2 linked regions of the Yarrowia lipolytica genome follow. The protein of the gene in region 1 purifies or fractionates together with the protein of each later gene. This does not show direct contact. Links are inferred from orthologs where the notes say so. Each region holds a gene or a part of one and is shown in the gene's direction. Other genes may lie near its edges.

What was found. The genes of interacting proteins can lie anywhere in the genome.
Region 2: the proteins of YALI1_E37387g (region 1) and YALI1_F27132g purify together in Saccharomyces cerevisiae (affinity purification with mass spectrometry, with the first as the bait; 4 studies listed by BioGRID). This does not show direct contact. The link is inferred for Yarrowia lipolytica from reciprocal best matches to the Saccharomyces cerevisiae genes UTP22 and UTP30.

What each region holds. Positions count from the first base shown.
Region 1 is NC_090774.1:3,734,693-3,740,308, reverse strand, and holds YALI1_E37387g (uncharacterized protein), read left to right. Parts: upstream 1-1,617; coding exon 1,618-5,091; downstream 5,092-5,616. Other genes in the region: YALI1_E37392g (uncharacterized protein), read right to left, coding at 106-1,080. UniProt on the Saccharomyces cerevisiae protein: Involved in nucleolar processing of pre-18S ribosomal RNA and ribosome assembly.
Region 2 is NC_090775.1:2,711,908-2,714,960, reverse strand, and holds YALI1_F27132g (uncharacterized protein), read left to right. Parts: upstream 1-1,696; coding exon 1,697-2,530; downstream 2,531-3,053. Other genes in the region: YALI1_F27141g (uncharacterized protein), read right to left, coding at 1-818; YALI1_F27101g (uncharacterized protein), read right to left, coding at 2,761-3,053. UniProt on the Saccharomyces cerevisiae protein: Involved in rRNA-processing and ribosome biosynthesis.

The sequences.
Region 1 (5,616 bases):
CACCATACAATCATCTACGATACATCTACGATGTCATTAACCAATGTGCTTGGGTCGCACATACTCGATATACATTAACTGGTTCAAACCCATTCACCATGCCGCCTAATCCTGCATCTTCTCGAGCTTTCCGCTTCGAGCCTCGCCGCTTGATCCAATGAGCACCACTCTATCCAAATTAGTGCACTCGTCCTCGTCCTCTCCCTCAATGAGCATGGAGATGGTCGACACGTTCTGGAACCGCACGTATCTGAGCTTGATCTCGGCCCACTCACCATCAAAAACCACATCTCCGACATGCTGGGCCTCGATCGACTGGGTGTCGTCGAACGACAGGTTGGGATGGTTGGCCCACACCTTGATATGCGAGGGGATCTGGTTGTCACCACTGACGGCGGGCTTCTTGAGCAGAATCGTCTGGATCTTGGCGTTGTTCTGCAGCTGCACGTTGAGCAGCATCTGCGAGTCTGTATCGGAGACAAACTCCTGATCGCCCGACAGCCCGTTGGTCAGCACGTTTCGCACGTCGCCGTTGTTTGCAATGTTGAGAGCCTCGGTCGAGGTGAAGTCAATACCAGAGTTGAGAATCTCCATGTTCTTGGGCACAAAAGCTGCGATGGCAGAGTTGTCAGTCGAGTTGACAGTGGAGCCAGCATCCTCAGAGTCGGCGCCTCCTGCTCCAGGAAGGGACTTGACGGCTGCAGGGTTCAGGGAAACCAACTGATCCAGACCAGTAGTAATTCCGGCTCTGTCAGCTCCAACGACCCGATTGACCTCCTTGCCCTTGTGGAAGTACACAAAAGTGGGCATGGAAGACACGGTGTACTTGGCAGCAATGTCCTTGCCCTGATCCACGTCGACCTTTGCAAATAGCACCTGGTTGTAGTCGGACTGGAGGGTCTCGACAAAGGGTGAAATCACCTTGCAGGGTCCGCACCATTCTGCGAAGAAATCGACAATGACTAGCTCGGACTTGAGCACCTTGTCAAACTCCCCCAGAGACGTGACTGTATGTAGCTTCATGGTTGTGGTGGTGTGTTGTGCTGAGTTGTGTTTTGTTGGAGGAGGTTTTGGTGTCATGTCTTGACTCTATGTGGGTTGATTGATGTGATGTGGGCTGAAGTTAAACTGGGGTGGCAAACGATGGTGGTTGTAGTAACAAGAGGTGGGGTGAAGAGGGGGAAATACAGACGGGATAAAACAGAGACAAATATATACATTGATAGCTATTACTTGTATGGAACACTTTTAACTGTCTCCTAAATGTCTCCTTGAGTGATATGAGGGGACCCACAAATAGAGTTCCATGTCTTCAACTGTGTGGACTAAGTATGGAACTATTTAGTGGAAAGAATTGTTTAAACTCTGTATGGGGACATCCCCAGTTCGAGACGTGTCAGTGTCTTTTCTTGTGTGTGTGTGTGTGTGTGTGTGTGTGTGTGTGTGTATGAAAAGTGAGAAAATGAGACCAGTATACTGACTAAGCACACCAAGAGCCCCAAAGAAATTCCGTCTCGTCGCTTCGTTGCCTCTCCATTGCAAGATCAATCTCAGCCCGTCACGTTTCAAGTCTTGGGCTTACTCCCTAACCCGAACCTTATAAAAATTATTTCATGCATGATATGGATTATTTTCAAACGCATACTACACAACACAATCATGGGAGTCAAGCGACCTCTATCCAAGGCTTCTCAGCATGAGAGCCAGAGTAAAAAGGTGAAATCCGAGGCCAAGCCCGAAATCACCTCTCTCGCCGACCTGGAGAGCGAAGACGACGACTCAGAGGACGATTCCGAAGACGATTCCGGGGCTGATGACGACTCAGACGAAGACAAGTTCTCGGACAAGGAGGAGGAGATCTCGGACAATGAACACGAGGAGAAACCAGGCCGAGTGTCGAAAAAGAAGGCCAAATTGCAGCTTTCTGCAGCGGAAATCAAGGCTGCAAAGGAGGCTGCTGAACTCTTCAAGAGTAACATCTTCAAGATGCAGATTGACGAGCTGCTAAAGGAGCTGGACGTGGATGAGAAACACACCAAGCGAATTGGCAAAATGCTCCATCGGGTCCATTCGATCATCGCCGAGATCCCCAAGGCTGGTCCCTTCGATGTGTCCAGAGCTAGCAAGTGGGCTTCTTCCCAGCAGGTGGAGATCCCCTGGAACCGACCCAGTGACAAGACTCAGTACAAATTTGCTTTTGCCAAGCCTTCAGATGTGAATGTGGTGGGATCTTTTGCTCTGGGTAGTGTCAACCGACTGCCTGGAAAGGAGCGTGTGGCTGTGGATGTTTCCGTCACTATGCCTCGAGAATTGTTTCAGGAAAAGGACTTCCTCAACAACCGGTACCTTCACAAAAGGGCCTTTTATCTGACTGTTCTGGCTGCTGCTCTGAAAAAGGAGCTCGACTGCAGCGTGTCTTACGAGACTCTGGATGACGATATTCGGCCTGTGGTTGTGCTTCGAGGAATCAACAAAAGCGATACCGATTTCGGCCCTAAGTCGCCCTTCTACATTCGAATTCTTCCCGTCATCGAAGAGGATGTCTTTGACACCAAGAAACTGGCCCCTGGCCGAAATTGTCTGCGATCCAAGGACGGAGAAGAACCCCCCACCCCCCTTTACAACTCTGCTATCCTTGCAGACATGACCACAACCCGATACCTCGGCTTCCTGAAGAAGACCGCCAAGATCGTGCCTGCCTTTGTGGCTGCCTGGCGTCTGGGAAGCCTGTGGCTCAGGCAGAGAGGCTTCTCTGGAGCTGTGGGCCAGGGAGGTTTTGGAGCCATGGAGTTTGGAATGCTCATGGCTGCTCTGCTGAGATCCAAGCAGCAGCTGCATGCCGGATACTCATCATACCAGCTGTTTAAGGGAGTGGTACGGTTCCTGGCCATTGAGGATCTGACCCGGCAGACCTGGACTTACTCTTCAGCCCTTGAGCTCAGCAACGACGCTCACTTTGAAGACAATGATACCAGACTGCCCTGTGTTCTGGACTCTGATACTGGTCTGAACATCATCGCCAAGGTCCAGCCCTGGGCATATGATCTCATCAAGCACGAGTCTCGAGTTTCCTTTGATCTCCTGAGCGACACTACGGTGGACCGATTTGGACTCCTGTTCCTGCGATACATTGCCGAGCCCAAGCTGTATTTCGACGAGGTTGTGCGTGTCCCCGTGACTGAGATTGAGGGCCATCCTTTCACTGGATCCAAAAAAGTGCAGTTCTCGTCATTTGGCAACTTCTTCGCCAACAATGTCTACGCTGTTCTGAAACAGGGTCTGGATGACCGAGTCGCCTGTGTGTCTGTCTCCATGGAGACTGGCCAAGCCTGGGACATTGATGCCAAGTTCGAGACCTCCACCACTGGCGAGGTGTCTGTGGGATTGCTTTTCACTGCCGACTGCAACAGAACTGTCACTCATGGACCCGCCAACGACGATGCCGAGGCCTGTGAAGCTTTCCGAGATTTCTGGGGCGACAAGGCCGAGCTTCGACGGTTCGCTGACGGCTCTATTAAGGAGACCACCGTGTGGAACGGTCGAGGACTCGTGACTTCTCAGATCATTCGGTTTGTGCTGGAGAACCATGTGTCTCCCTCGTGTCTGGCTGATCTGTACCTGTCTTCCGACAACTACCAGACCATGATCACGGAGGTGACCGACGCCCATTCCAAGCTCATCTCCGAGGCTCTTGTCAATCTCACTGCTGCCGTCAATCGAATCGAGCTGCCTCTGGTGGTCAAGAACATTCTTCCCGCCTCTTCGGCTCTTCGGTCGACCGATGTGTCGCCTGCTCTGCCCTTCGAGCTCAACGGCGACTTTTTCTGCGACGCAATTGTCCAGTTTGAGAGCTCGTCTCGATGGCCCGAAGAGATTGAGGCTATGGAGAAGACCAAGCTGGCCTTTTTGCTGGATATGCGAAAGAAGCTGGCAGACCAGGGATATCGAGTCATTGTTGGTTTCAACGACAAGCAAGCGTTTGCTCTTGTTCTGACGCCGGAGGGATTCGGATTCAGACTGCACATTATCACCGAGACTGACGAACTGCTGGTCAAACATTTCGTCAAAGATAACGCCAACGCTGCTCTTCGACACCTCGCCTTCCGACAGTTCAATGACGCCCCTAACCACACCCGGCTCATAACCACCATGACCACCCGATATCCTCTGTACGGAGCCACCGTGCGACTGGTAAAGGCCTGGCTGGACGCCCACTTTATGACTGCCGCCTTCCCCCAGGAGCTGTGGGAGCTCATTGCTCTGCAGCCCTTCGTGTCTTCGGCACCCTACGTGCCTCCTCAGAGCATCTCGTGTGCCTTCAACCGAGTCATTGCGTTCCTGGCGCGTTGGAACTGGAAGGAGAACCCTCTACTGCTCGATGTGGAGGTGCATCCCGATCCTTCCCGAGAACTGGCTGTGCAGGAAAATCTTTCGGACGTGACTGGAACCACCACCGACTCTGCTGTGCATGCGCAGATGACCGCTGCCTTCGCCAAACATCGTCACCTGGACCCTGCTCTTCGAGTGCCTTTATTTGTGGCCACCACCCGAACCAAGGTCGAGGACGGAGCTCTGTGGTCTGCTCCCAAGCACGAGGGGGCCGGAATCATGCTTTCTGGTCGTCTCACAGCGCTGGCCAAGGCTGCCAAGCAGGTAATCGATACCGACGGGCAGTTTGAGTCGCTCTTCAGCACCTCTCTGGCTCCCTACGACTTTACCATCAAGCTGCGAAAGGACCAGGTGCCCAAGAAGACCTCGAAGTATAAGAATCTGCAGGCCATTGTCAAGGGAACCTTCCCTAATGACGACGGAGTGGTTGCCAACTCTTGCAACGAGGCGCGTCGGTTCTACGATGAAATCTCCAACACCTATGCTGGAGCCTGTCTCTTCTTCTCGGACGTTCTGGCCATGGATTCTGGAGTTATTGCCGGAATGTGGCTCCCTGAGGCCAAGGAGCCCCGGAAGTTCCGTGTCAACTTGGAGTACGCCACCGTTCCCGATGGCTCCAAGGTGACTCTTGACCAGGAGGGTATTATTAGCGAGATCAAGCGAATCGGAGGAGACTTGATTAATAAGGTGGATGTTAAATAGCGGCTTCGTGGAGGATTTAATAATAGATGCATTGATTAGATTAGAAGAAGATGGTGGAGTCTAGATGGAGTGATATATTACACCGCAGTACGTATTTGAACCGACTTTGGAAGAACTACAGGCCAACATACCCGAACTAGCAGAGTGTACACACCCACTAGCTACTGCACAAGTGCATACCAGCGTACTGATACTTTACAATAAGTATGAGTGCGTCAGTGGACAGCCTGCATTAGCTGGCTAACCGTTGAACCATTGCTTTGCGTCTGCACGAGCGATATGGACCAGAAAACAAGAAATATGTTGTATTTCAAACTCGGAGAATGTAATTGAGAACTTGCACCTTCCATTGTACTCACAGACCGTCCAGTGTGTATGTAGTTCAACATAACATCATCTTGTAACAGCTCTAACGGGCAGCCTTACATAGACTGGTACCGATTTTATCTGATAGCCATATGGGATCAGCTGCTGTAGATGAATCTATACCCTTACCAATTCTTGATGCGGAATCGGTCTAGAGTC
Region 2 (3,053 bases), on another chromosome or scaffold:
TTCGAGGCTGCAACCTTGGGAGCGTTGCTGGTGTTTCGCATCGCGACCATAGACTCGGGAGGCATGATGTAGTCGCGTGACGTGACAGGGTGGTCGTGGGGGTGACCTGGAACTCCTGCTGTTCGTCGGAAATCGTCCATCAGGAGCAGATTGTCTCCTCCCTTGACGGCCTCTCCGAGTCCCTCGAGCACAGGATCCACGTTCAGGTCCTGTTTGGGGTTGAGCGACGTCTTTTGACGTTTTCGTTTCCGTCCGTGAGCCTGTGCGTCTGATTCTGTACCTGCGCCAGGCTGGGGAGCGCCTCCAGATCCAATCTCGACAGCGGCAGCAGCCACCATCTCGTTGAACTCGTCCTTGCTGAACTCCTTGTTGAACTCCTTGCTGAATTCCTTGTTGAATTTTTCCTGGAAGTCTCCCTCGCCGGCAGCAGTGGCAGCTGCGACGGCAAACTGCTCCGAAAACAGGTTCTGGTTCCATGGCGTGTCAGAATTGTCGTTGAGAAATTCCCCATAATGAGCAATGTCTTCGTACTGCTGCTGCTGCTGTTGCTGCTGCTGTTGTTGCTGGCCTGCAGGAGCTCCTCCGTTGTTACCGACACCAACACCGGGCTTCTCCTTTTCGCGTTTCTCCTCGTCCTGAGTGAATCGCACCAGATGCATCAGAGCGCCCTCGACGGTCTCCTCGCCCACGTCGTCCTTGGTATTGTTGCCATCGCTCGTCTTTTTGTCATCCTTGACATTGCGAGGATCCTTGCCTTCGTCTTGGAGATCCAGCAGCGCCTGTGCGCCTTCCTGCGCGGGCTTACCCTCCTTGGGCATCTTGTGTGTAGGTGGCTGTGTGGATGTGAGTGTCACGTTGTGGTCTGGCGGCGTCTGGCGTTGTATCACGTGGTGCTCGTCGCGTACACTGTTTTGCGTTTTCCTGTATCTGTCCAAAAACCGCGTTTCGCGAAACGAGACCGGGTAATATCGACCTTGGGCAGATGGGAAGGAGTGTTGTAGATGAAAACTTTTCCGGGTAACTCCCCTCAAAACCTTGTTGTTGGGAGTGTCTGGGGGTGCTCTTGTGTGTAGCCTCCGTTGGTCTATGCCTATACGCGATGTTGTATGGCTTTACGTGTACTGTATCTCTGTGTGCGGTGGGCTTGAAAAGCAGACAGTGGTATAGGAAGATGAGAGTGTCAGACACTATCCAGCTACCATTATATCTCCCGTGGCTCACGTGGACAGCAGGTTTGCTACATCTTGGCTGCTTCCATACTCTATTTTACCGTGATATGTTGTACGCCACAATCAAACAAAGTTGGAGGCGGTCGATGTCAGGACGAGGGAACTCATGACTGGTGGCGAAGATTGGTGTGTGTATAGTGCTCGCTGTGTCGCGTTGTTCGTGTGGTGCGTGTGCGAGTACTCGTAGTTGTAGTCGTATTTGCTCGGATAGGCCGTGATTCCATGAAACATTCTGTCTGTGGCAACGATTGCCGTGTCCTCCATCATCTGCTATATGACCTCAACTTGGCCATCATAACATGCCGAACCTTCCTACCATACCAATGTTGTCACAAGTAAAGCCAACTAAAGTTAGTTGACAGGAGCTCAACTAGTTTACCCCTAGCAACCCCTAACCCATACAGCTCACATGCAGGTCTCGAATATTTTCGAAAGATGACAAAAAAATCCAGACCACCAGCGACAAGATGAAACTCACGCAAAAGCCAGCCATTAAGGCACTGTTCAAGTCCGCCAAACAGGAGCTAACCGAGGACCCCAACCAGCGAATTCCCGTCCACCTCACCGTCACCACAACATCCAAAACCAATGTCAGAGTTCCCGGGCAGCGAGGTATGAACAACATTTCAGTCCCCTATGTCATTCCTCTGCACCACAAGATCCACAAGTCGATATCCCAGGCGAAAATACTGCTCATAGTGCCACACCCTACCGCCAAATATGCAGAGATCTTCCAGGCTGACGAAGCTAGCACCAAAGACACATTTGCTGATATCATTTCGGTCAAGAAGTTTCGACCTAAATTGCGAAAGGACCCCTTGTCTGTCGGAAAGGACTTCGATCTGATTGTCGCCGACTCCCGAATCCACGAGGAGGTCGTGGAGTGTTATGATAGACTGTCCAAGAAGATTTCTCTGAGACATCTGACTAAGCCGTTCCCCATCAGATTCATCCAACCTGGAAAAGAAGACGATGCAAGAGACGCAAACATGTTTGCCGATCCGGACTACGTCAAGGCACAGGTGCGAGGTTTGCTTCGATCCACGTCGGTGACTCTCCCCAGATCAATGGCATGCGAGCAGGGCGCTGTTAATCTGACTGCCCTCGTCGGATACCTGCCAGACAATACCGCCAAGGAGATCGAGGAGAACTCGCATCGAGTGGCAAACAACATCGTCGACAACCTCGTGGACGGGGGAGCTCGATCAACCAAAACTATTTACATCAAGAGCCCTAAGACAGTTGGTCTACCAATCTGGAGACTGGAAAAGGAGGGCCAGACACTGGAGGAGGAGGAATAAACAGCATATATCCAATAGCATTATATAATAAGAACACACCACTACAGTACAAACTGTACTTGCACCGTTAGTGGCTGTACCAATACACACTAAATACGATACTACTTGTGTCTACGGACTACAAGGACATGTTGCTCGTAGCTAACTACAGTAGTACCTACGCGAACCAATTTCTCCGGTCGTAGTCCTCTCTCATAACAATCATACCATACTCTAAATACCCTCTATATTTATCTGGAAAAGGCGATATCGTCAATTCTGAGCAGACCCTTGGCACACTCGGCGGCCAGAGTGATGGCCGAGGTGGTAACCAATGCGGGCTGAATGACATGCTCCTCCACCATAATGGACGTTCCTCGTCTCACCGAAATGCCGGCGTTGACCTCGCCCTTTTCGTGTCGAACTCGCAGCTCGGTCACAACGTTGACCGGGTTGAGACCGGCATTCTCGGCCAGGGTGGTGGGGATCACCAGCATGGCGTTAGAAAACTCTTCGTAGCAAATGGCAGAAGCACCGTCCATGG